Linked DNA regions of Bombyx mori. The protein of the gene in region 2 interacts with the protein of the main gene of each other region in a biochemical or structural test. Links are inferred from orthologs where the notes say so. Each region holds a gene or a part of one and is shown on either strand. Other genes may lie near its edges. The genes, in order: dual specificity mitogen-activated protein kinase kinase 4 and mitogen-activated protein kinase kinase kinase 4.

Region 1 (3,831 bases), on a different chromosome or scaffold from region 2:
AAAAAGTCTCTCCCTGCTTAACTGGGATTTGCCGAGATTTCTATCGAAACTGAATCTGAGAAGTCACATAATATGGAACTTTCAATAGAAAAAAAAAGTACCATTTTTAATCTCATTGACTGTAAATTGGATACAACTAAAGAAATCTTCATCTCTTCACTACACGAAGAAACCGAAAACGAAAGTGATCAAGCTAACTCAGATCCTACTGTACAGGTTCAAATAGTATCTATCAGCCCTAATATTTTCACAACCAAAACCATTAGCCGAGACTTTCATATCAATAATAACCACTAAAAATAGAAATGTAACATCTGCTCAACTTGACGTGAGATATCCGAATAATTCAACTCTCGATATCAACAAAAACGATTCGTTTCCTGACTTGTCCCTTTTGACATTACATCTTTCTGGCAATTACCTCAACGCCGGCTCTGTCGCGTCTTTAGACGACGTTCTAATTCTACCATTTGAAGAGATTGCATCATCGCCCTCTATGTCTAGTGTTGAAAAATAAACCCTTACTAAGGAACAAACGCCAGAAACGGCTTTGACTTCTTCGATTCATACAGCATCAGCTGTATCGCTACCTCCTCGAGTACCACCAGCTTCAGCAGTTGTTGAAATACTAACACAAAAGAAAACCTCTGATCCATTTGAAAAGCACCTGATGCTGCCTGAAATTTCTAACAAAGCATGAAAAAATTATCAAAGAACTCCAGCCATATCTTCTGCTGCATGGAGAAAGTATTATGAAGAGAATGAAAGTATTATGAAGATAACGAAGAGAAGAGAATAAAGAGAACTAATAGAAAAGCAAGAACAGAAAAAAAAACTTTAAAACACCCTCAAACGGTTCGTAAAACTGCTCTGAAATGAAAAAACGAAATACACCCCCTCTTGAAGAAGTCACAAAGAAAAGGATAGATGTGGAAATTGAGAAAGAAAATTTACCAGGCGTGGAACGAGTGAAATGTCCTGAATGTGACGATATACTAATTTCAAATGTAGAAGAGGACGATGAGAAAAACATTGGCTGTGACAAGTGTATTAGATCATATCATCTGAAATGCACGCGATTAGTAGGATTAAGTTATTTAGAGGCCAAACATGTCTTTTGAATGTGACTTGTGTCATTAATTAAAATTCTAAGGCTATAATAATCATCTTTCATCATCATCAATCATCTTTAATAAATAAAGTATTAAAATCCAATCTCGCTTTAATATCATAAAAATATCATCCTTTAATACCTTTGCTAAGCTGATGGACGCCAAGTGGTCCAGCGGGTGGACGCAAATTGATTTTTATGGAGGCAAAGTGGGTAAAACGCCTAATTCTGAAGTTTGTCTTTCAAAATAAAAATACAAGATGTTTCGCAAAAACTAAGTTACCTTAAAATAGACTATTATAATGAACACATTACATAAACTTTTCATTGAAATTACCTAGTGTTGGGACATTTTTATTTTCTCCTTCAAACTTGCCAACTGCACTAAGTGGACGCAAGCAGGCGAAATGACCCTAAACACTCCACAAGCGCCGGCACATCAACCTGCTTTTGCCTTTACGATAGAGGTGAAATTTAGTAACAATGCCGTAATAAGTTTGATTCTTTTTTTAGTTTTTGACTTTTGTAGGTACCTAATAATAACACGGTTGCATTTTTTGGTTTTGTTTAGGAGTTAAAATGAATTTGTTATTGTCTATCTTGTTCAGATGCGACTTGACTGAATGAATGGCCTAACGGTACTTTTATTGTATAAATTCAGGGTTGCCTTCGAACAGTTGAAACAATTATTATAAATTAGTTTTTGTATGAATCTACTAATTACGATTTAGATTTTTTTACATATTAAACATGATTTACATTGTTGATACTAGAGCCACGTTTCGGCTTGATATACCCATTGTCGGACACCCTATGATTTTATAATTTTTAACATGTATACATGTTTTCTTTCAAAACAGATCATCAAAAAATAGTAAGCAAAATATAATGAAAACTAATTAAAGTCGTACTGAAGTATACTCGTCGGGAGTTCTTTTTGAATTTCAGAGAACAAAGTAAATAACAACAGATAGTCGTAGTGAGCCAACAGCCTAATGATATAATAAAAATACCTGGAATTCGTACCACTAAAGACGCGCAAAGACTGGCTTAAGTGCAGGTGAAGATCAGCACTCAAAATCCGTGCCGCTTATTGTAGACGATCGTACCATAAAGTCAAAACTCCCAAAAAACAGTTTGAGCAGTTTGCTTATTAAAAACAAAATTTTCATGAGATTTCACTCTAAACCATATTGGTCACGCACACTAAACTAGTTCCTGAAAACTGTGATTAATCTACCCAGGCTTGAGCAGGCTGGTCTGTTGTGAAAGGACTCACTCCATTCCGTTCCATTGATTCTAAGATCTCGCAAACATATGCAGCAACATCTGATCGACTTTGGTCTATTCCTTTGATGAATGGGTGTTCCAGTAACCTGTTATACTTAGGTCTCTGTGTTTCTTCTTTTATAAGGCTAAAATAAATATTTCAAATGTATATTCGTTGGAATACAGTCATCGGTGAGCGCTTGTAACTTAAAATTCTATATTACAAACGAAAACAAGGCAAGGCTTTTAAGATGAGTCTTCCTGGCCTAAAGGATAAAACGCCCGTTGCATTCGTATCAGGCGATGGAACGGTGTTAATCTCGCAGGCCGTTACCAACTTTTCTAATGTAATACGTACATAACAGAAATAAAGAAAAAAATATATTATAATGTAATAATAAATAATATAATAAGGAACGTCACGAGAGCCACTAATGAGCTTATCTTGAAAATCTATCGTAAATCTCAAACACCCCAACATCTTGAACCTAGTTGAACGGTGGCAAAGTGCTAAGAAATATTCTTCTGCTGATAAATGTTCTCCAAACAACAGATCATGACCTTGACCAACTTGTTCATAACTTTGGACAGTCTGATTGCAGAAGATTGGTTAAATTGATCAGATATAAGGCAACCATTGTATTGATGTAATGAAGACTTCATTCTTATGCCTCAACATGGGCAGCAGATTCACATTGGAGTTTAAGGATTTACTTCTGTAACCGCACAACATAAGGGGGCTAAGTAATGGTACTAAAAGTTATAATTTTATACCTAACGATCGATTTCATAATCTTTAATGTGGATTTATACTTACCAAGTATTAACGAAGTTAACGAAGCTGTTTGAAAACATGTTGTTATTGGATGAAAGACGTGGCGGGTCCCCTTGAACCACTTGCTGTAGCTGTTCAAATACAGATCCCCATCTTGGGTACGGAAATGCACCAGTAGCCACTTCCATCAAAGTAATACCTAAAGACCAAACATCTGAGCGTACATCATAACCTCTTGCACGGCCTGGATCAATTCTTTCCGGCTGAAACAAAAGTTTTTGTTTACAATTCTATAACAGTTTGACTGGTGAAGGGTGCTGTCTTTTAATTCAACGTCAATCATTGTATAATAGAGTAACTAACAGCGAAAGGACCTCATTATCCATTTTGTACTTATGAGGTGTCCAGAGCACACAAACATAATGAGAGGGCCATTACCTACTTAGCAATATGAATAAGGTCAAAGCTATAACTATATATATGTAACCTATTACACTTTTAAAACTGAAATGAATCTTCTAAGCATGAGGCTAGGCAGAATAGCTATCAGAGTAGATTCACGATTTTCTTTAATGATTTGTTGCCACTTTACAAGCATGCATTTTCTTATCTGCTTTCCTCTCATAGCCTTGGCTTACATGACTTCTTTCTAAATTGCGTAACAAGTATGAAGGTA
Region 2 (3,831 bases):
ATAGGGAATGTTTGTGAATATTTTAAACCTCCTATAAATATATTTTTTTATTTAAATTTCAATCAATTTGAAAAAAAAAATCGATTAAACGACATCCTCAAACACGCATATTGGACATCCCTTTTTCTTGTCATCGTATAAATTCGTGCATATTCGGTAATTCTCGGCACGCGGTAATGTGTCTCACTCACACGTTAGCATTAGTGTCGTGTTCGTGTCGCTATCTCTGTCTTGAGTACGGGCGGCTACGAAACTTTTTATTGATTTGTTATTATTATACTGTTTTTGTTTAGTTTTAAATTTGTTTGTGTTTAAGTTTGTTTTAGTATTAAGTGTCCCTTGGCATTTATATTATTCGTCAACAAAGATGCCACCAAAGCATAATAGTGTTTTATATCGCCAGGCGAGAAAAACAATTTTTGATCTAATGCAGCTTTTTTAAAAAAGAAAAAGAAGAAGGCGTAAAATATTTTGACAGTTTTTTAAGAGTTACTAACGCAGCTGGTGTATCGCAACGCACAGTACAGCGGATCGCAACTGAAGGCAATGTTTCGGGATTACTTTCTAATTAATTTAATTACGTTATTTTTACAGCTTTCAGTCTTAATTTATTATTTCTCTTTAATTTATTACATTATTTTTATAGCTTTCTCTCTCATAGTGTTTTGATATTAATTTTATTTGTACTTGGTCTCTGTATATGGAAGTTTTAATTCGTATTTTGATTTAAAAAAAATGAATGACAATAACACTTTTTTTTACGAGTGTAAATGCGCGAAAGTTGACCTGCGGCTATATTCAGACTCGTCAAGTTACGTCGGTCGTATTGTACAGGATCGCGTTAAGGAGTATAATAAAGTTTTTTTTTATTGCTTAGGTGGGTGGACGAGCTCACAGCCCACTGTGTTTACTGTGTGGTTACTGGAGCCCACAGACATCTACAACGTAAATGCGCCACCCACCTTGAGATATAAGTTCTAAGGTCTCAAGTATTAGTCACAACGGCTGCCCCACCCTTCAAACCTAAACGCATTGCTGCTTCACGGCAGAAATATGCGGGGCGGTGGTACACCTACCCGCGCGGACTCACAACAGGTCCACCAGTAATTTTAAAACATTTCCCTATCATCGGGACAACGGTACAAAGGTTCAGGTGTGTGGTGTGCACGCACCCGGTGCAGCTCGCAGCCGTAGTAGCGCACGAGGTGCGGGTGCGCCACGCCCTCCAGCACGCGCAGCTCGTTGGCGGCGCGCTGCAGCCCGCGCCGGTCGCCCGCGCCCACGCTCAGCTCCTTCATGGCCAGCAGCTGCCCGCTCTCCGTGTTCACCACCGTGTACACCTGCGCACCACAACCTCCGTCACTCTGCATCACTCTACGGCACTCTACCGCACTCCACGTGCTGCTGACCACAGTACCTTGCCGAACGAGCCGGCGCCGATCTTCAATCCGCGCTGCCACTTGAACGTGAGCTGCCTCAGCTTGGGCTCGTAGCTGGTGACGGCGGCCTCCAGCACCCTGCCCACGCTCTTGGACTCCCGCAGTCTCTGCTCTCTCGCGAACTCCACTCGAGATATCGCTTCGGTTACTCTTCTGCTGTGTACTATAACAAATCAGTTTTTTAAAGGTAAACAAATATATGATGGCGTCACGGATGGCTGAGCGGGAGTTCCGTCATCATTCGTATTCGGTAGAAGTTAGTTTATTGCGATAAAAGTCAATAAAACTTTTTGAATATTATTATTGAAATTCTAAGCAAATAATTTTCACAATGTTGCTTTTGTTTTTTTTAACTTAAATTTCTCTTCTCTGTTCACTTTTTACATGTTTATATGTGATTTTGATTGTGGTTAAATAAATAAATAAAAGGGTAAACCGACAGTTTCGTTTCAACTGACCGACTGACGGACTGACTGACTGATACTGACTGACAGACTGAGACGACTCTGTCCACGTATTTTATATTCGCCATTAGTATTATATATACGCCATTTTATACTTTGGCGTTACGACGTCTACCCTACATTTTTGTGATATTTATCAAAACAATATTTTATCATTTAATCAATACAATGTCTTAATATTAGAGAAGTCGTTACCCACGACATATATGTTGGTGTCTGAGCGTACTCACGCGTGTTCTCCGCGCCGGGGAAGCACAGCAGCGGCTCGGGCTCGCTGGGCGGGGTGGGCGGCGCGGGCACGTCCTTGTGCAGCGACGCGTTGGACAGTGGACTCTACACCCACATGCATAGACAAGGTTCACTCTTAACCCTGATGCTTGTATTAATTATAAAATATGTCGCAATGCATAATGTTTACGGCAGCATATAACAAACAGAACAAGGGGGACTTTTTGGTGTTTTTAATTTAGTGTTATTAACTTTTTACCATTTATGAAAGTGCACCAGTGTAGCTTTTTTTTCCTTACTTATTCGCTGGTAACCTAAGGGGCTATTTCAGCCACGTGCGGACGACTAGGTGAGCTCATATGCTCAACCTGAGAGAATTTGCTAACACTGGTCCTAGCAAGAGCCGTGCTTCGCAGAGTCTACCACCGGATCGGAATCGCGACCCGCTGAGAAAATCCGGCGAGAAAATCAGCGGGCTGATGTTTAAGTTATAGGAGTGGGCGATATAAATCGTATCTAGATTCAATATCTATATATCGCAGCAATATCGTTGAATCCGATATCGCCCCGCACGAAATCTATATATCGATATCGGCCGATACACGATATTGCTCGATGTGATGCGCATCGGCATATCGTACCGATTCGTGAATCGAAATCTATATAACGATATCAGTCGATACACGATATTACTCGATGTGATGCGCATCGGCATATCGTACCGATTCGTAAATATCAGCAATATTCGTTTGGTTCGTATCGAATCGGCCAGAGTGAGTGAGCGCACGATATCATGTGATGAATGAAACAGAAACAGGCATTATCCATACAATTGTAAACCTTATATTTAAGTCCATATGTCTGTAGATTATTCTTAGCGTATCAGCAGGATACAATTTAATTTCACGCGCTTTGACCTTGAACTGCAATTTTTGGACAAGTGTTTATAAATACTTAAAAGTTTTTTGTGTTTGATTTTTAAAGTACACATTTTTCTATTTTTAGTTGAATCCAAATAATTGAGTTTATTTCTTGTGTTTGTATTAAACTTTTGAAATCTACACTCTTTTGGTATATTTTGTAATTTTAAATTAAGATACAAAATACTAAAAACTGAAAATAATGTAGCCAGTCCTAAGCCTGATAAAAGCATGAAGGAAAGTTTTTTTGATATTTTTATTTTCATGTTCTTTTTATTACTTTAAAATCATATTATAAATTGATATCAGAAAACCAACCGTATAACGTTGACTTAAATCTATATCTACTACGATATTATATCAGCGTATCGTTTCAAATCTCAAATATCATGAATCGAGAAAATCTACTAGCATCCATCAATATATAGATTCAGAAAATATATAGATTCAATATCCGATATTGATCCTCGATATATAGATACGATTCGATACGCGGCAAAACCGATATTACCCACTCCTATTAAGTTAGTTGCACGTCGAACTCTTTGCCGAATTCGACAAGTACGGTTACCGGGATTCATAAGCTTGCGCCTAGCGTTAGAGCTGAAGGCGACTAATGCAAGAGTTATTGGATCTAATGGATCCGTAAGCAAGTGTCTAGGGCGTCGACGGTAACTGGCTCCGTGATCAGGATTCGGAGAGTTCCTTCGTACAAACTCCCCAAATTAGATTCAATGCACAAAATATTAGCAACGTGTAATTTTGGATCTTGAAGTGACA

Evidence for each region.
Region 1: the proteins of mitogen-activated protein kinase kinase kinase 4 (region 2) and dual specificity mitogen-activated protein kinase kinase 4 form a complex in vitro, tested with the Homo sapiens proteins (2 studies listed by BioGRID, with this or other methods). The link is inferred for Bombyx mori from reciprocal best matches to the Homo sapiens genes MAP3K4 and MAP2K4.

What each region holds. Positions count from the first base shown.
Region 1 is NC_085123.1:7,701,522-7,705,352, reverse strand, and holds part of dual specificity mitogen-activated protein kinase kinase 4, read right to left. Parts: intron 3,419-3,831; coding exon 3,198-3,418; intron 2,527-3,197; coding exon 2,343-2,526; 3' UTR 1-2,342. UniProt on the Homo sapiens protein: Dual specificity protein kinase which acts as an essential component of the MAP kinase signal transduction pathway. Essential component of the stress-activated protein kinase/c-Jun N-terminal kinase (SAP/JNK) signaling pathway.
Region 2 is NC_085112.1:512,032-515,862, reverse strand, and holds part of mitogen-activated protein kinase kinase kinase 4, read right to left. Parts: intron 2,237-3,831; coding exon 2,134-2,236; intron 1,603-2,133; coding exon 1,418-1,602; intron 1,341-1,417; coding exon 1,173-1,340; intron 1-1,172. UniProt on the Homo sapiens protein: Component of a protein kinase signal transduction cascade. Activates the CSBP2, P38 and JNK MAPK pathways, but not the ERK pathway. Specifically phosphorylates and activates MAP2K4 and MAP2K6.